Rhinolophus ferrumequinum: one gene and its partner. The protein of the gene in region 1 interacts with the protein of each later gene in a biochemical or structural test. Links are inferred from orthologs where the notes say so. Each region holds a gene or a part of one and is shown in the gene's direction. Other genes may lie near its edges.

What was found.
Region 2: of the proteins of SYK (region 1) and FLT3, one has a biochemical effect on the other in vitro, tested with the Homo sapiens proteins (2 studies listed by IntAct, with this or other methods). The link is inferred for Rhinolophus ferrumequinum from reciprocal best matches to the Homo sapiens genes SYK and FLT3.

The regions. Positions count from the first base shown.
Region 1 is NC_046295.1:3,381,929-3,391,952, reverse strand, and holds the start of SYK (tyrosine-protein kinase SYK), read left to right. Parts: upstream 1-5,969; 5' UTR 5,970-6,095; exon of another isoform or gene 6,096-6,302; intron 6,303-10,024. UniProt on the Homo sapiens protein: Non-receptor tyrosine kinase which mediates signal transduction downstream of a variety of transmembrane receptors including classical immunoreceptors like the B-cell receptor (BCR).
Region 2 is NC_046287.1:99,998,217-100,008,335, reverse strand, and holds the start of FLT3 (receptor-type tyrosine-protein kinase FLT3), read left to right. Parts: upstream 1-5,772; 5' UTR 5,773-5,974; coding exon 5,975-6,017; intron 6,018-10,119. UniProt on the Homo sapiens protein: Tyrosine-protein kinase that acts as a cell-surface receptor for the cytokine FLT3LG and regulates differentiation, proliferation and survival of hematopoietic progenitor cells and of dendritic cells.

The DNA.
Region 1 (10,024 bases):
TAGAATCACGAAAGTATCACCTGTACACAGGAATAGAAAGCAGGAGGCAGAAAGGGCCTTTGTAGGACCCAGATGGTGAATGTCATGGACAAAGACTTCAGAGGACTTATTATAAATATGTTCAAAGAAGTATTAAAGAATACTTTAAAAATATTTAGAAATTAAAGAAATGCTAAAAACAAATGGACCGTGTTCATGGATGGACATATTTAATAGTGTTAAGATGGCAAATTGATCTACAGAGTCCCTGTCAAAATCCCAGCTTCTGTTTTGGCAGAAATTGACAAGCTGATCCTAAAATTCTTATCACAATGCAAAGCCAAAATAATCTTGAAAAAGAACAAAGTTGTAGGACTCAAACTTTTCAATTTCCAAAGAAATACAAAACTTCAGTAATTGGACTGTAATTTTGGAATAAGGACAGATACATAGATCATGAGAATGGAATTTAGAGCCCAGAAATAACTCTTGCATTGATCTTCAACAAGGGTGGCAAGACAATTAATTGTGAACAGAATATACTTGACCCTTGAACAACATGGGTTTGAACAGCACAGGTTCACTTATAGGCTGATTTTTTTCAATAAATACATACAGTACTGTAAACGTATTTTCTTTTCCTTATGAATTTCTTAATAACATTTTCGCTAGCTCATTTAAGTGTAAGAATATAGTATATAATATAAAATATGTGTTAATCGACTGTTTACATTATTGGTAAGGCTTCCAGTCAACAGTAGGCTATTAGTAGTTACATTTTTGAGGAGTCAAAAGTTATATGCAGATTTTTGATTGTGAGAGGGTTTGGCGTCCTTAACACCTGCATTGTACAAAGGTCAACTTAGTTGTTTCGATAACTACTGTTGTGCTGGGACAACTAGATATGTGCATGCACAAAACTGAAGTTGGGCTTCTGTCCTAAACTGTACCCCAAAGTTAATTAAAAATGGATCTGAGACATTAATGTAAAAGCTAAAACTATAAAACTAGAGAAACACATAGGAGTAAATCTTCTCGACCTTGGGTTAGGCAATGATTTCTTAGATATAATACAAAAACACAAGCAACAAAAGAAAAACTAAATTTACCTTCATAAAAATTAAAAAAAAAAAATTTGTCCTGCAAATGATACAATGAAGAAAAAGAGAACCTTCAAAATAGGAGAATACTATATATCTAATGAGGAACTTGTATCCAAAATATGTAAAAAATTCTTACAACTCAATAATAAAAAATGAGTCAATTGCATATAACCTATATTTTCATACCATTTCATTTGTGTGGATTCAGTGTAGTTCTTGGGTGAGGCAAATTCAAGTTTTGCTTTCTGGAACTTTCTGTGATTTTTTCCCCCCAATATTTTTGCTACTTGGTTGGTTGAACCTTCAGATACTGAGGGCCAGCTGTAATTATATTTTTAAAAAGTAAACTGCTAGACAAATACATGGCTGCCTGTTGTGGTATGTGAAGGAGTTATTTTTGAGCATATTTTTCCATCCTTTTTAATCTCCGGGTATAGGATCATGTCTGGCAATAAAGATACACAATACAATGTTACCTCGGTTTTCGAATGTAATCCGTTCCGGAAGACAGTTCGAGTTCTGAAACGTTCGAAAACAGCCAACAGCAAGGCCTCAGGATCTTGCACTCAGCGGAAGCTGCGTGACATGTTCCACTTCCGAGGCGTGTTCCAAAGCCGAAGGATTTACTTCTGGGTTTACGGTGTTTGTAAACCGAAGTGTTCGTCAACGGAGACGTTTGAAAACCGAGGTACTGCTGTAATTGTTTGCCAACTTGAATTTCACAGAAAATAAGAAATCAGAGGTATGCAGAGGAGGCTTGACTTCCTCAGAGCTACACGCCCAGGAAAGGGGCAGCCTTGGGAAGATAGCCCGTGCTTTTGACCCTGGCCAGAGTTCTCACCAGTGGGCTGTCACGTGTGGCCTAAGTTCAAATGCTATCCTTAGTCCTTAAGTAACTTTTTTATTTCTTGTTCAAAACCTCATTGACAACAGAAAAAGAAGGAAGTCCACCATTTGTAGGTGAAAGGTCCCTTTTTAATCAGGGTTGAGCTGGTGAGGGAGCTGAGCAGCAGAAGGAGGCTGTTCCTCTGGTGACATTCTGTGGCATTTTGGCAGATAGATGTGCCCAGGTGGTGGGCATCACGGAGATTCAGCGATGCTGGTCTAGCAAAAATAACTTGCCTTCTTAAGACAAGATAGGGTTAAATAACTACATTTTGTAAAGGTACACCTACATTTTAAAATTGTTAAAATGGTGAATTTTGTGTGTGTGACTTTTATCTCAACTTAAAATTATTTGTATAAAAGTACACCTAATGCTGTCCTCATTCTGGAACTTTCTCCCTTTTTTGCCAATCAAATTTTACCATTTCAATAGTTGGAGTTGAGTATTCTTTTATTTGCAACCTAAAGCATCCTAACACATGTCATGTGTAACTCACGTATTTTTAATTTGAAAGAGTTAAATATGAGGACCTTGCATTCTAAATATTAAAATGTACAATGTACGGATATATTCTACAGTAAAAAAAAAATGTCTGGCATTAAATTCTGGATAAAAGTAATGAAATATTCATGGAGTTTCAAGGTCCCACTATCTAGAAACAAAAAGATTCCCTCCCTCTCTGCCACCCAAGCAAAAACGGAAGAGAAAACAAAAATGTAAAAGTCACCGGTAGTAACCAAACAAGAAAAGGAGAAGGGCTTAATGAGATGGACTTCAGAAAATGCTCGCTCATATAGAAAACAGAAGTTTGAGAGGAGCAGGGTGAGGTCATGCTCCCACCTCCCAGAAACCATAACTGGTGTGTCTACAAAATCTTGACAATTCTCATTCAAATCTTGATAGAAGAAAGAGGAGTGATAATTTATTCTTAGCTTTCCCCATTTTTGACTCTGAGGTAGTGAAAATGTCTGCAGTGGAGATTAGAGAAAAAAGAGAAATGTCAGCTTTCTGTATGACTGTCAGAAGTCTGAGGGCTCCAGGGACCCACATTAACTGGGGGACGGAGCTGATGCTCAAAGTTGCCCCCAAAAGAGTGGGGTAAGCTCTTCCCTCTCCATCTCCCAATGAAGAGTGAACCCTCCTGCCTTCAACCCATTCTCATGCAGGAGGGAGGACCCAGTTATAGCAACGCAACTCCATAACCAATGCCCAAAGGTTATAGAAAATCAGGCATAAAGGGACTAATAAACCCTAAAAGTGACTCCCAGAACGAAGAAAGAATCAATGATTCTTTGATCCTGATGTAAGGATCAAGGAGCTGTCACCCACAGAGGAGTAAACAGAAGGCCTGGAGAAGCTAGCAAGTGTGGGCAAGTAAAACACCCGACTAGTAACTATGCTCAAAGGATAAAGAATCAGAATGAATAGACAAAGGAAAAAGACTCAGAATGGTTTGGATTTCTCAACAGCAACACTGCAAACAAGAAAACAATGGAATAATGGCTTAAAATTGTGAGGAAAAGTAATTTCTGAACTAGAATTCTATACAATCATGCAGGATGGAAGAGCACATCCAAACCATCAATCACAGTTGACGATAGAACCTTTTTGGATATGGGAGGTCTTTAAACTATCTACAGTAGTACTCGGTTTTCGAACGTCTCCATTGACGAACATTTTGGTTTATGAATGCCGTAAACCTGGAAGTAAATGCTTCTGTTTTCGAACACGCCTCAGAAGTTGAACATGTCACGTGGCTTCCGCTAAGTGCAAGATCCTGAGGCCTCGCAGTAGGCTGTTTTCGAACGTTTCAGAACTCGTGGATTACAGTCGAAAACCGAGGTACCACTGTACTTCCATTTGTCAGGAAACTCCTGGAGATTGTGATCCACCAAAATGACAGAGTAAACTAAGGAAGAGAAAGGAATACAAGAAACAACATGGAATACAAGAAACAACTCCAAAATAAAAGTGAAAGGAAGCACAGAACAGAAACAGAAGAAATGCATCCTTGAGAAACTGTAACTACAAATTGACCAAAATTGTGCCCAAATTTCCAGCCCAAATTCATATCACTTTGGTGATCCAAAAAAAAAAGAAAAAAAGAAAAAAATGTAACCTGAGAACTTTTCTTAAATTATCCAAATACTAGTTAAACCCTAGGTTTCGCACAGAAGCAAAGAAAAATTCTCTCTGAAAGAAAATACCTTCTTCCCAGGCCTCAACTAATTTCCACAAATATTTCAGGGACAACAAGTGGCCAAGTACACAGTCTAACGTGACCAAGTACACAGTAAGGCAGGCACCGTGAACAAGAACCACAGAAACACTCAGACAACACAAGCAGATAGATATGCGAGACTTCAGGTGGTGGAAATAACACAACAAAACTGGGGGAAAAACATTGACTATTTTTAAAGAAATAAAAATAATAATCTGCAGGGAACAGGAGACTTTAAAAAGTGACTGTGTGTAGTGTCCCTGAGATCATCCTGGTGCGCATTTTGCTAGAAGGGCTTCCAGGACTCAGCATACAATCACAGCGAAGACTGATCACAGTGAAAAGATAAAAAGCACTCAGCACATGGGGGGAAAGAAGAAAGGCTGGGAGAAATGTGTTGAGTTTCAGGAAGATTTTTTCTATTCATAGATATTTGTGTGATAATTTTAACATTAAAAAATCATTACAAGCATACTAATTAACTTTTTAAAGATGACTCAAAGGTGGGAAGGACCCAGTACTACAGGGAGGCAGGCAGATGGATCTAGAACATCACCTACCTCACCGCCATTAGCGGCCCCTAAGGAAACATGTAATTTCAGTAAACGCAAGGCAGGACCCCTACTTTTCAGCAATATCGCCGACTCTACTTTTCAGCAACATCGCCGACTCTAAAAACCTCCTGCAGCCTCCAGTCTTTTAGAGAACAACTGCTATTTCACTGGCTCTTTGAAGCAAAAACAAGTCCAGTGGTTAACAAATATAATCATAATAAAAACCCTTCCTTGGGTTAAAAATTAAATGGAAAAATGACTGGAAGAGAATGCCCAAGTGGAAAGTCTGAGGGGCTCCAATCTAATGTAAACACTTCCTATCGCCTTATTCTTCTCCATGTCAATTATAATCTAACACACTATTTTGTATTGGTCATTGTGTTTTGGCTCAGGGTACAGGTTTTCAAAACAGTGTTACCAAAAATGTGAGGGTCTGGAAACTTTCAGGGGAACGGACATTTCAAAGAGGGCTGTCCAACAGAAAAAGAAAAAAATGCGGAGAGAGGATGGGGAAGGGGAACCAGGTAGGTGTTTTAAAACCATTTTAAGGACTACAGAGAAGGGTTAAACTTATTAATAATTTATTTAGCTCCAGACTGCAGACCGCGGTAGGTATTACAGAAGGAAGCAAGTCAAACTCACTGTCAAGAACTTGGTAGCAATTAAAGCCATCAGAAAACTGGCTGTGTTGGGCAAGCTGGGCCCACCCAAAGGTGCGCCTGAAGTCTGGCGTTCATCTCAGGCAGGTCACCTGGCGGGATTCCAGGGCCTCCTGGTCACCGGTCAGCAGGGGTGTCTCGGGTTGATGACTGGGAATGCACCGCACAAGGAAAAAGGTTCTCTTCCTGAGGAATTGCACGGGGAAATGGGGGTGCCCCTAACAGCCTGTCGTCCTTAAAAAAGGCGACAGGGGGAGAGGTTCTCGTTGTTGGCAGTGCCCCGCATGGTATATGACGGCCCCTGTCCCGGGCTTCTGTGCCCGGGAGACGGGTGGAACGGTCACCCGGCCGCTCTCCTCCTCCCCTCCGGCCTCCCAGGTCGACCTCGCCGCCGGGTACCCGCGCGCTCTGGCCGCCGCTGCCCTGCCCTGGGTTCTCGGGGCGCCTTTGGCGCTGGGGGCACAGGCAGCTGTGGGGGCGCACGGGGCGCTGGGGAGGCGGCCGGGAGGAAGTGTGGGGCCTGCCCGGGCGCGTTAAGGAAGTTGCCCAAAATGAGGAAGCGCCGCGCGCTGGGCGGGTGAGGCGACTCCGCGGCCGGCGCCGCTCCTCTCCCATCCTCCCGACGCCCCGGCCCCGCGCCCGGCGCCCCGCACGGCGACCCCACGCCGCCCCGCCCTCGCCTTACCTGCGCAGGTAGGTGTGGCGCGCGCTCCTTCCGCTCGGCCCGCGGGACCGCGGAGCCCCGGCGCTTTGGGGCCGGGAAGGCGGCGAGCAGGGAGCGCGGCCCTGCGCCTCCTTGGCCGCTTTCTGGGTGTCCGGGCTCAGCCGGGCAGGGACGCTCGGGGCCTTCGGCCTTTGAAAAAGGAGGGGAAATTGATGACATCGTTCGAATAGAAGCAGGTAGGTGGTGCCAGCTTTTCTCCTAAACCCAGAGCCTCACGGGGTCCGACTCCTGTACTAGGTGCCAGGCCTGGGCCCGGGGGTCAGTGCGGGGGTCCCCGGACCCCAGGTGCCCTGGCAGCGCCCACAGTGTCCCGACAGGGTCCTGGGAAGCAGGAGCTGGAGTCCGCCGGCACGGGGAACTCCAAAATAAGAAATTTTCGTTCGTCCATTTACATGAATGCCCTGGAAAATTCCACTGTATTTATCGAAGTGACTCAATGTACAAATGTTCGTGTGCCTGCAGAGGTTTTATATACACTACATTTCGTGTACTACAGAAAGAAAGAGCAGTTGCATCGACACATGAAACTTTCTTAACTACTACCAAAATTTTGCATGATTGCTCCTTTTACGACACGTTTTCGTGGTAAAGTAACTTAATTAGCCAATGAATGACTTGGAGCGCAGGGTAGTTTTATGCAGTAAAATGTAAATTTTAAGTGTTGTTTGTTTTTTTGTTTGTTTGTTTTTTTGTCAATATGGTTTAAAATATTAAACCCACCTAAATAACTGTACAAAGACAATTCTTTTTTTCGTTTGTCTGAATGTTGAAGTATTAGAAAGGCTTCGTTGGAGAAATTAGAGTTTAAATCGTTCTAAGTTGGAAACAGTGTTGCAGATTACTTGAATGAGTTTGCCTGACTCCCCAAAGATTTCATTGAACCCAAGTAGAACTGTTACTGGAGGAATTGGTCTTTCTCTTAAACCCTCGGAACATTTCAGCGTGTAGTTGAAAGAGTTGGAGTTGTCCCACATTTGAATCTTCGTACTAAATAATAATAATAATAAATAAATAATAATTGTGATAATGGAGAATTTCCAGAAGAAATGGAATTGACTCTAGTATCTGATTTCTTTGTTTTAGTAAGGACAAATTCATTGCTATTTCACAGGCAGGATTTCAATTAAAGGCAATTAAATTCATTAATGCCCCTCCCTGCCAAAAGTCTGGATGGTGCATAGATATATGTATTTGTATTTGAGCTAAATGATTAAAATACTTGTAAAGTGTTAGGTGTTTTAAGTGAGAAATCTTGTCAGTTAAAATGATTTTATCAAATCATTTTGTTCTATCTACATCATATGTGTGATGTGTTTAGAGTTTTGCAATAAAATAGAAATTGATTTGTATTCTCTATGTCTGTAATGCTTAGATATGTAGGATTATGTAGTCTTAACTAGAATTGTTTTTAATGTTTTAAGCCATGATGAAAATGAGGTGTGTACTTTAGGTCCTTACCTTTCCTGGGGGATGAAATTGGCTGGAAGATCATTTAATTGGTAGGTTTACACTTCAGAAATAGCTCACTTTAGCTTTCCTTCAGCTCATGTTTAATATTCTGAGAGCAGGTCTGATTTCTCTGTTTTTAACCCAGACTTCTTAGTAGGACACCACTTAGGCAGCACACTGCATGTTCGTGATCGTTTAAAACCCTTGTGCTCAGATAGGTTTTGGAATGCAGGATTTTTCACAGTTTAGAATTCAAAGTTAGAATTTTAGCATTGAGAAAGACATTTCTCAGAATTTAGACAGGTATGTATGCACACTGACACCGTATGGTGGGTACCACTCCGATACAGCCTCCTGTAATGGCACACGTTAATGTTTGTGCATTGACACTGTGAACAGCCTCAGTATGTGGAATAAATAAAGACTGTAATTAGCTGTGCGTCAGTTTAGGGCAGGCATTGTCCCTAAATGAGAGTCCCTAAAACTTACCAAAGAAACCTGTTTTTCAGAGCATTTTGGAGTTCGACTAAAGGACTGAGTCTGTGTGAGACTCCATCAAGCTACTGTTTTGCTTTTGAAAACACATTGCTTTTCTATTGCCCAATAACTCACACTTTTCAGTAATTAGATAGGCAATTCCCTTCTTGTCAGGGAGTCTGAAATAGCATAACTTCACTGAATTTTCAGTGATAACCATCAAAATGTAAATCCTGCAAGTAAGAATAGGATGTTTCATCCTTACTGATGTACTTTCAAACAGCAGATTTTCTGACAGTCTAGGATTGTAGAGCAAGAACACAGTGGTTACTCAAGGAAAGGGTACTATCACCATTTCCAACTGCAGTATGTGCTTGGAAGAAATGTCTCCTGTTCACTGTGCAGCTGGCTCTGTCGTCTGTGCCTAAGGAATGGCAGGACACTCCAATCTGACCTCATTTTTGCTGAGAAAGCTTTCACTGTAACAGATTTTTTCCAACTAACTCATCTTCTCTCCCCTGCCCCTCGTTTGCAAGTTTTAACATTTTCTTCCACTTCTGGATTGGTTTAGCTATAAATGAGTGGAGAAAAAATTAGGAATTTAGGCGTTTGGGGAGAATTTTTAAAAATGTCTGCATACTGAACTTTTTTTTTCTTTAAAAGCAATTAAAATCAAAAGGCAGAATCTTAAAGAGAGATTGGAATTAAATTGCCTGATTTAATTATGTCCTATCATCTTACTCTTCTACTTTGATTTGAACAGGTTTGTTCCTTTTCACGTGGAAAAGAGTTTAAAAAAATTTTTTAACTGAGGAATTGTGGGAAAATTTTTAAAAAATAGGCTAAATTTTAAAGGAAAAAAAATCATCCATTTTGACACTATATTACCAGGGAAATTTTCTATTAGCGTATAAGTTTGTCTGACAAAGTTATTTTGCATCATTTTGACTTTTTTTTTTGCCCTTAAGAATTAATTATGTAAGTTTTGCCATGTGACTCTTGAAAGGTGATTGAATTGGAATCTTAAGTATAATCAGATTTAGTCAAGGCCATAGATACCAATAGAAAAAAGAACATTTAGTATGTGTTACAGTAGATTTAATAAATCAAAATTGACTCCCTCTTGATTCTTTTATTCTTGGAAAAACCATGTGTTTATTTCTGGAGGCCACCAAAGGCTGGCGATGAGAGGAGGAAGAAGATAGGACTGATTTAGAGTACTGGTGACGCCACGGTGACCATGGAGGGTGTACTGAAAGCTTGTGTGATGGGCAGTGCCTGGTGAGCACCGTGCTCTCTTCTGGGGTAGCTAGCTAGCTCTGACACTGGAGTCCTTGCTTCTGAAGCTGGTGGCAGTACCCCTCGCTGCTGTGCTGGAGCACTAGAGGGGAGTACGGACGCAGGAGCGTGCTGGCCTTCCAGACTGGCATGCTGAGTGTGAGAAGTATGGTACGAGGCAGCTGAGCAGGCAGCAGGCCCTACGGGGAATGCAGGCTGGTGTGAGGGTAAGTGAGGCCCAGGACTGGCTGGGTCAATGGAGGAGCCCCTTAGGGCAGCAGCGTTTCAGGAAAAGCCACAGTTTAAGTATTGGTTTGTTTTGTTATACTCTGCATGGCATTTGATGTCCAACACAGCACATTCTGTTTGTCTTAATTGATAAATCTTCATTCTGTCTTGGCCAGTCTGATAATTTATTAAATCTATCCATTTCTATTGAGTTGTCATGGAAATGTTATGGTGTGACCAGAGTTCATTTTTCTTTTTTAAAATTTTAATTTGTGACAATACTTTCCCATCCGCTACTACTGCTCCCTAAAAGCAACCATTTTATATTTTTATTGCTATTTTTTCTAGAATTCTCTCCCTTTAGTTTCTTATTATGTGCTCATTTGCTTACGTTTTGGGTGATCACATTTAGACAGTGCCTGCTGACTTCTTACTCTGAGAAACGAGCACTCGGCCATCCTATATG
Region 2 (10,119 bases), on another chromosome or scaffold:
AGTGTTTTAAATGTTAAAGCAAACTATATTAGATTTATTAATAAAATTTGTAAGTTGAGCACCAAATCTTCAAAAAAACTAAGCTCTAAAATTTGCAACCATAACTGAATATTAACTAAAATAAAAAGAGCTATAAAATGCCCAACAACATGGATTGGTTACATAAATTATGATTCATCCATATGATGGAATTTCTGATGAGTAAAAATAACTTTGTAGAAAAATCAACATGGACACTTGATTTTTTGAAAAGCAAGCTATAAAAGAGCATGTATAAGATGATCTCATTTTTTAAATACCAATTTAAATATCAATAGCATATATGTATATATATGCTATACATGTATATGTATACTGTATATACATACATGTATAGAGGAAAAACTAGATGGACCAACATCGAATTGCTAATAGTTACTATTTGGTACTTATAGTATTTGTGTATGACTGTGTACTTCCCAATTTTTTGTGCATTAAACATGTATACTTCAGCTAGAAAAGGAATATTCTTTTTAAAATAAGAAAAGAAAACGGAGGTAATGGTGTGTAAGTAGCAATGAATAGCTCGAAGAATGCCCACGTTCCTGGCTCCACCATCCATGGCATTGGAGGAAAATAAGTAGCATTTGAGAGGACTACGGAGAGGAGTTTCCTTGAGGTAAAGCCGGGGTTCTAAGGCTGAGGGCATGTTTTGTAGAAAATTGACCATACTTTCCATTGGGACCCTGCTATGGCTGGCACATGTGTCTATCAAAGCCCCTGTAACACTTTGATGCAAGTATTTGTTTATGTGACTATCAAGCCATATTAGATTATCCACCTCTTTGAACATAGGAATTATCTTCCTCACCTGTGTAACTCCAGTGCCTCCAGAAGCATTTAATAAGTGTTGGTTGGAGGGAATGAAAAATTATTCTTTATTACTTTTATTGCCTGTCCATTTCAAAAATGCTTGCTCTGAGTTGAAGACCCTTCACCGCACCCCGCAAAAAACCCCAACCTGCTCCAAAGTATCGTCTTACCAGCTTGCCACAGTGATTGAAATCCTCCCCACTGAAGTAACTTTTTAATTTAAAACACTGTCTCCAAAGACTATCCAAAGATTGTCTCTTGAACTCTATCCATCCCCAAATGGCAAAATGATCATGATTGATGGATACATGTATCGTTAGATTGTTCCCCATACTTTTGCATATGACAGAAAATTTCTATATTACAAAGTATTTTAGAAACCTGTGGGAAAATTAAACAAGTCATGCAACAAATATTTAATGACTAATGAGAGCATACTGTATGCTGGTCATTGTATTAAGGTCTAGGAATACAAGTGTGAGTACAAGTGAGGGGTGTGGGTGGGGTGTGGGTTGGAGTGGGACAAACATACTGTGCTACATATAGAAGTGAGAAACAAGAGGATCTACCTAACTCACAGTTGGGGTGGGGTGGGGAGACCGTAGAGTAGTCCCGGATGAATCTAGAAGGTGAATAAAAGTTAGACAGACTGGAAAGGGCAACAGAAATGGTGAGAAAGGGGAATGAGTCATTCCAGGCAAAAACAACATGGGAGTATCAAGACATGGAAACCAGGTAGAATGTAATGAGTTTGAAGTCCTAGTTCACTATGACTCCAACTTCGGGTTTATATGCAGAAATGGTAGGAATAAAAATAGGGTGCAAGTTAAGCTGTTGTTACAGAAAGACCCCAAGGTCCAGTGGATTGAACACGATCAAAATTTATTTCTCTCAAGTAGCAGTCACACATGGTCAATTTTGACTCCTCCCCTCAAACTCCCCACATTAAATTATTTTGAAGAAAACTCCAGACGGTACATCATTTTTAAGTTTTATTGAGATCTAATTGACATGCTCTGTAGTTCGCCTATTAATGTATAATTCTATGGTTTTTAGTTTATTTACAGAGTTGTGCATCTCTCGCTATAATCTAATTTTAGAACATTTTCATCATCCTCAAAAGAAGCCCTGTACTCATTAGTTATTCCCTATTCTCCCTTCAACCTTTCCATTTCATATAATTTTATCATATCTGTAAGTATTTCATATGCACACATAGAAAGATAGGAACTATTTAAAAAAATACATAATAATATCATTATCACGCATAAAAATGTCAGAGATAAAACCAGTAGTCATATTTTCCTGATTATTTTATAATTTATTTTCAGTTTGTTTGCTTAAATCAGGGTCCAAGAAAAACCCTTAATTGCACATTGCAATTGCTTTATCTATCTGTTAGGTTTCTTTTCATCTATCGGTCATCCCTCCAATGCTTGCTTTTTTTTCTTACAAATTTTTGTTGAAGAAACTAGATTATTTGTTCTATAAAGTCTCCTGGGGTCTGGAATTTTCTGATTGTATTATTATGTCATTGTTTAATCTACTCCACCGTCCTATGTAATTTCCTATAAATTGGCAGTTAGATCTGGGATCTTAATCAGATTCAAATATTGTTTGCTTGGATAAGACTACTTCAGTGGTGGAAGTGTTGTGTCAAACTTCCATTTAAATGTTCTTTTATTGTGAATACATCATACTCATAGCAGTATATAAAACTAATTGTAGTTTAAAGAATAATAATAAAGTGAACATCCAGACCCCATTGCAGAGGCTAAAAAACAAGAGTATTGCCATTTGCCTTAATAAAATCGACTTCTCTTTGCATCCCATTCTAGAGGTAAGAACTATCCTCACCTTTGTGATAATTATTCCTTCACTTTCTTTATGCCCCTTATGAGCATATTCCTAAAGAGAATTTGTTTGGTTCAACATTATGATTTTTGAGATTCATCCATGTTGTTTTGGGTAACTGTAGTACATTCATTTTCACTTGTATAGGATTTCATTCTATGAATATATTGCAGTTTATTCTTTAGCTAGTGGACATTTAAATTATCCCTGATTTTCTGATATTACAAACGGAAATGCTATGAACATTCTGGTACAGGTCTCCTGGTGCACATGAGTTTCTCTAAATAGATATAGAGATAAAGATAGAGATAGAGATACAGATGAGAAACCGATGGTGTAATGTGTGCACCTGCTCAATTTAAGTAAGTAATGTCAAATTATTTTCCAAAGTGCTTATAATCATTTAGATCCCCACTAGTAGTGGAAGTTACTCATTGCTCTGAATCCTTGTATACACTTGGAATTGTCAGATTTTGCCAATTGGTGGGTTCAAACTCTTTATTGATAAAAGATGTGTAAAATTGAACGATATAGTTGATATTTCAACTGAATTTACGGGAATCCTATTCAAATATTTCTTTTGCTTGTCCCTTATTTGCAGGAAAATATAAAGTTTTGGATTTAAAAATGACACTAAAGTATTTCACCTATAGGTTGCCCATGAAAATGTGTCACAATTGTTGAAGGGGGAGAGGGAGATATTTGTGTAATTTAAGGTTGGAAAGATGTTCTAAGATGAATGGCCACTTACTCACGGCTATGTAGCAGCTAAGCTTTATAGTGGTAAGAATCTAGATAAAATACTCATTTGTAGGGCTCATGCAAGACACCCCATTCAACCCAGAAACACACTTACTCTTCTCTCTTCCAGTTTCTTTTTTCGTCTTATTCCTCCTCGTTGCTTCTTAACCCTTTAGCGGCTTGTTTATAATAGGCTTCATATCATGAGTTCTGGAACCAACATTTTCCACTTGGGTGTGCATAACTGTTAATAGCTGTGCAATCTAGGGCTCTCGACAATATAAGGCTACCTTCCTAGAGTACTGTTGTGAGGTATAAATTAGGTATCATAATAGATATATGACTCTAGGTACACTTCAAGAATGATGGGTACTATCGCACCTTCTAAATGGCAGCCTATACCTCATACTCCAAAATTTTTCAGTCCACAAAATTTGCTCCACCAATTTCCAGGGAAAATCAGGTGCGTACAGAAGCCATTCCAAGTTTCTCCCCCTCTTACTACATCTTCTCATGGAGATTTCTGCCTTGCATCTAAGATTCTTTGAAAAAGCAGCAGTATCTTCATGATTTTGTGTCCTCAAACAGTGCCTCACCCAAGCTGTTCTTTCGCAAACTTGGAATCATCAGTTTTTTTAACGCTGGTAGTAACCAAGCTATAAATAAAAGGTAATGCATTCGATCTTGGCAACTGGAAGGCTCACTAGCCCACTTTTCTTCCCATTACCAGCCTGCTTCATTGCTTTTATTTCTTCATGCTTCTTAACTCATGCTTCTTCCTCTGGTTCTGTGTCTGACCTCAGATAGACACTTAAAATTTTTGTTTAAGTTTGAATTGTGATAAAATGCACATAACATAGAACTTACCATTGTAGCCATCTTTAAGTGTACAGCTCAGTGGTATTAATTATATTCACATACTGTTGTGCAACCAATCTCTAGAGCCTCTTTGTCTTGCAAAATTGAAGCTCTGTCCTCACTTAATAACCACTCTCTACTCCCTCTGCCTCCAACCCCTGGCAACCAAGCTTCTACTTTCTTTCTCTATGGATTTGACTACTCTAGGTACCTTATATAAGTAGAGTCATACGGTTTTTGTCTTTTTGTGCCTGGCTTAATTCACTTAGCACGTCCTCAAGGTTCCTCCATGTTGTAGTTTCCTCCCTGTTTAAGGCTGAATAATAGTCCATTGTATGGATATACTAATTTTTTTATCCATTTATCCAATTTTGTTTATCCATTTATCTTTGGATGGACATCTGGGTTGCCTGCACCTTTTGCCTATTGTGAATAATGTTGCTATGAATATAGGTTCACAAATATCTGTTTATGACCCTGCTTTCAGTACTTTTGGGTACATACGAGAATTAGTGTATCATATGGTAATTTTATTTTTAATTTTTTTGAGGAACTGCCATATTGCCACTACGGTGGCTGCATCATAGTAGACACTTTAAAGTTTCTGTCATGCCTGCGGGGTAGGGGAAGGTCTATTATTTTTCTATAGACTACAGTAGTGAAAAAGGGTTGTATGGCCGAGAGTGAACATTGTCAATTATCATGCTTTATTAGAAAATGATTAAAATAATTAAAAGCCTGGAAATCCTAGAATTTGGAGACACATTATAAACCATTGGATCCATTCCCCTCCTTTCCAGGTGATTAAAGTGGGACTCTGAGAAGGCAATGGCTTGTGAAGGTCAAAACGCTGCTTAACAAGAGTCAGAACTGGCATCCACAGCTTTCCAATCTTCAATTTATTGCAAATAAAATAAATTTCAACTTGAAATACTATGTAATGAAGAACAAGAACTACGGAGTGGATAATTCAAAACATCCTCTGGGATGCACTGTCAGTGTTTTGCTTTTGTTTCTATGGCAGGTTCTAGCCCCCGAATTGCCTGGGTTGACATTGAAACAGCCTGTTTTTCTTGCTGCCACTGCTGGCTGGGTCCTGGGCATCCTAGGAGACGGAGGGGGAGACAAAGGAAACCAGCGGGCAGTCAGGATTCACCGAGCGCGGAACGCGACCCTCTGCTGGCCTGCGCGCTGGCCAGAGCCGCGGGTGGAGCGCGGTTTATCTCCCATCCTGGGGCCTCAAAGACCTGTCCCCGTGCTCCAGGATCCAAACGAGAACGTTCAGGGACTCGCGGGGTAAGGCCGGTCTTGCCGTGCCTCCTCCCCACCCGGAGCGGCAGAGCCCTTGCTACTGCCCGGGCGAAACGATGCCCAATCCCCGCCGCCACCGCCGGGGAGCCCCGGGAGCGCGGAACGCGGGCTGCGGACACGGCGGGCACGTGGGCTCGGCCGAAGAGCTGCGCCGGCTCTGCCCAACCTCTGCTCGCCTGCCTCGGCCCCTGCGGGTGGGGAGAGGGATCCTCCCCCCTTCCACTTTGCACCAGTCCGAGGGAATTTGCGGTCGGTGACGCGCATCCTTAAGCGAGCCACCTGCAGCGCGGGGCGCGCCGCTCTGGGCGGCATCGCAGGCTGGGCCGGCGCGGCCTGGGGACCCCGGGCTCCGGAGGCCATGCCGGCGTTGACGCGCCGCGGCGGCCGGCTGCCGCTGCTCGGTAAGACCCTGCCCGCCCGCTCGTGGCCCCCATAGCCCCCGGCGCGGCCTCAGCCGCCAGCCCGCACGGTGGCCTGGCGCGCGCCTCCAGGTCCCCACCGCTGCGTTCCTCCCCGCGCCCGCGCCCCTCCCCTATGTTGCGCCCTCCCGACTCGCCCTCAACTGGCTCGCGGCCCCCGTCCTGCCCACCCCATATCCTCCTGCCTCTTCTCTAAAGTCGCTGCCCGGCTCGGGTCGCGTCCGGATCTGCGGCCCGGACTCCGCGGGCGGCCTCGCCGAGGCGCTGCCCCGGGCCGGGGCCGCTCCGCCGCCTGCGCTCCCGCTCGGTTCGGGTGCTGGGCCATCCGCCAGCGTCTGGGACCCCCAGGCTGGCGCCGGTTGGCTCGGGACCTCGCCAGGACCGACCCTGGATATCGTAGGCTCCCGGGTGGCGTCTTTCAGCTCTTCTTTTGGGGTTTTTATGTGTGGAGTGAACTCTGATTGGAAAATTCGCCCGCGTTTTCCCGAAGAGACTCATTCGTAATAACGACCCCTACCCACGCCAAGTTTCGGTTGGGTCAACGAGTAGTGACTTTGGAAATGTTATGCAAAGAGGATTTGCATATTAAAATACTAGCTGCCCCTTCCTCCTCTACTGGATTTTTATCCTGGCATTAAACCCCAAGGGAGTTTTCAAGGACTCAGGTGACGGTTCCCAAATAATCTGCTGGGTAGCATAGTGATTACTACTAAATAAATAAATAAATAAATAAATAAACAAATAAATAAATAACCCTTTCTAAAAGATCCACTCCATCCGTTTGGAAAGATGAGATGGTTGACTCTGGAGTTTGGGATGAAGGAGACAGAGTTCTGGGAGACCGAGAGCCTCGGGTCCCTTATTCTCCTTCTACAGTCTTGGAAGCGGCACCCACAGCTCCCACATTCTAGGGTTCTAACTTAAGGTCTCTGTGGTAAAGAGAGAAAAGATTTCCGATATAGACGTGCAGGAAGTATGTCCAAAGCTGTTGTTACACATCATTCAGAATTACAGAGTAAGAAACGTAACATAAGGAGGAAAGAAGTGGGAAAACAGACAGTTTGCATTTCTGAAACAGATTTACTAGTTGGTAAATAGGTACATTTCAAATGCATAGTACAATATGTTTTTCAGTCTATGAATAAAAAGAGTTAACTTTCTGTTAGGTATGACACCGATAAGTGAGTTTTTCGGTGGCACACAAAGGCTTTGGAAAAGTAAAGATCAGTATTTGCAACTATATTTAAGCTGCATTGAATTCTTTATTTAGGAATGAGCCCCCAGATTTTGACATCTCTCTCCAGATTTTTGTAAATGAGGTATAATTTGCATATAGCAAATATGCACAAATCTTAACAGTGCAACTTCATTAGTTTTTACATACAGGTATGTATGTACCCACATAATCACTGTTGGACCAAGTTTTGAGCAAGTCTAGCTCCGCCCTGTTTCAGTCAGTACCCTGCAAACGTAGCCACTATTTCGACTTCTTATACCATTGGTTTGCCTGTTTTTGAACTTCATGTAAACCAGACCACCATGATATACTCTTTTATGTCCAGATTCTTTCACTCAATATTGTGATTAGGAGATTCAACCTTGTTCTCAGCAGCAGTGGTAATTTTTTTAATTGCTGGGTACTAGTCCTTAATATGAATATACTATACAACTTATCCATTCTCTTGTTGAACATGTAAGTTATTTTCAGTTTTGTGTAATATGAATAATAGTGCTGTGAACATTCTTTGGCACATTTTTTGGTGGACATGAACTCCCATTTCTCCTAGGATGATACCCACGAGTATTATAGGGGAAGGTGTATATTCAGTTTTGTTGGACTCTGTCCAACAGTTTTTCATAGTGGTCGTACCAGTTTACATTCCCACTGGCAGTATATGGGGGTTTCCAGTCCCTCGCATCACTGCCAACACCCAGTAGTACAGATTTTTTTTAATAAAGAAACACAAAATGAGGAGCTTAAAAGTGAGGGCTTTAAAACGTGTAAAAGCTTTGTCTAACCACAATGCTGTACACCCAAAAGTAATATAAAACATTATTGAATAGCAACCATAATGGAAAAATTTAAAAATGTCTAAAAGCTCTAAATTCCTGAAAGTATAATATTCGATCCCCATTTCCCTGATATTGTAAGCTCTACCTTTCATGAATAATGAATGCTGAGTCTTTCTAAGAAGTATGTACAGAAATGTACTGGCCATGGCCTTCACTGCATTGTGTGCTGGTGCTGGATAAGAAAGGGGAGGACTTCAAGATTTCAGTAAATATGATATACGACCTCTTTCACTAGGGTCAGAAAATTCATATTTAGAGACTTGAATTGCACATTTTGGTTGCTATCCGTTGTCCTAGTTGCTTATCTTACTTTATTGGCTTCCTTGTAAACTGCCAGCCTGAGGGGTGGGGAGTGTGATTCAGGAGGAGGAGGAGGGAAGGGATGCCAGGCAAAGACTGGTTTGGATTGGATAAGACACCAGGCCTGGTGAACTGATGTTAAAAGTCCTTTGCATCGGGGCCATCATACAAGTTTAGATTGGCTATTCATTTCTTCCCAGGTACTTCACATCATCCTCTTAGGTTTAATTGTGAACTACTTACCTTCCATTAAAGAATGGCTCTCCTTTTTATAACTAGAAAGACATGTTCAGTAACCCTTATGTATCAGTAAAGATTTTTGTTGTTGTTGAATTCTCCTATTGTTTAACTGAAAAACAGCCAGGTAATAAGATATTAAATGGGGAGAAGGACCACTTACTTATATTCCAGATAAGACTTCAGACAAGAAAGATGATGCGGAAGCATGCATGAGAAAGACTGAAATTTTTCTTGGATAAACTTTAATTGGATACCTATTTTTCTGTGCTAGACACAAGAGGTAGAAAGACAAAAGAGATGGGGATGAGGGAACTTACATAGAAATAGTGAATTCCATTCTATTTAAGAAATGCATGGATGTTGCCTTTCCTCAGGAAAAGCATTTGAGCACAAAGCTTGCTTTCAATTAATTCAACCTTCCAAAACAGTTCTTGTGGTCACTAAATATCCATAGGAGAAAAATAGCATGCTTCAATGAAGGAGCTTCAACCAGGATTTTTGTCTGCTAAAACTACTTCAACATGGCTGCCCTGTATTTAATGGTTGTGGGAAAGAAACTGCTCTTCCATTTTGAATAAAACAATTGGACAGCTCCAGAGTTCGATATGACCATCTTTTGGGTTTTGGGGAGGAAGTAATTGTCTACATGGTTCTTTGAACAAGTTTGTTGACTACATTTTACTCCCAAAAAAGTGTTTCTGCTCACTTGAGAAGCCCCCGCGATGGCTCAGCCTTACCACTTTCTCTATAGTTCATGTTCCTCTCATCTTGTCATTTTCTAATGAAACCCAGAGAGCAGTGTGACGAAAGCCCTTACATGCAATGTTCAAGATTACAATCTTGCTGACTCCTCAAATACCCACCAGATATTGCCTTAATCTTTGGGTAAAGATTCTGATTTGAGAAAAAGCAAATCATCTCAAAAGTATTGTAGTTTAGCATTTTTCTTGATGTTGAAAGGGATCTTGAAGAAAACCAGAGTAAGAATTTGGAGTGGGGAAATGGAGGGGCTGAAACCAGCTTCGTCTGTTTTATAACTGCTCAGCTTGGTCTTGCCACTCACTATGCTGCATCCTTCATTCGCTCTGAAAGAGCAAACTCTTGAGAACCTCACAGTATGCGGTGTGTCTGAGTAGAGCTTTTTGCTTTTCATCAGTTGGCTTCGTGATCTTAAGATTTTTATCCTGACTTCCAGAAAAGCTTTCGCCACTTCTCAGTTAAGTAGCCATAGTTATGTGGCCGAATGTTTTTCTGTCTTTTGGGGGTCTGTGAGCTCTACACTTATGTGATTTCATTACCTTTGATAGATATCTTCTATAGCTGTATCATCAGTGGTCCTCAAAGGATGAAAACTTTTGTTGTACTTGCTTGATGGTTGTTAACTTGAATCATGCAATTCTGTTCTATGGGTACCAACATATGTGGAGGAAATTTAAAAATAATATAAAGTACACACACACACACACACTGT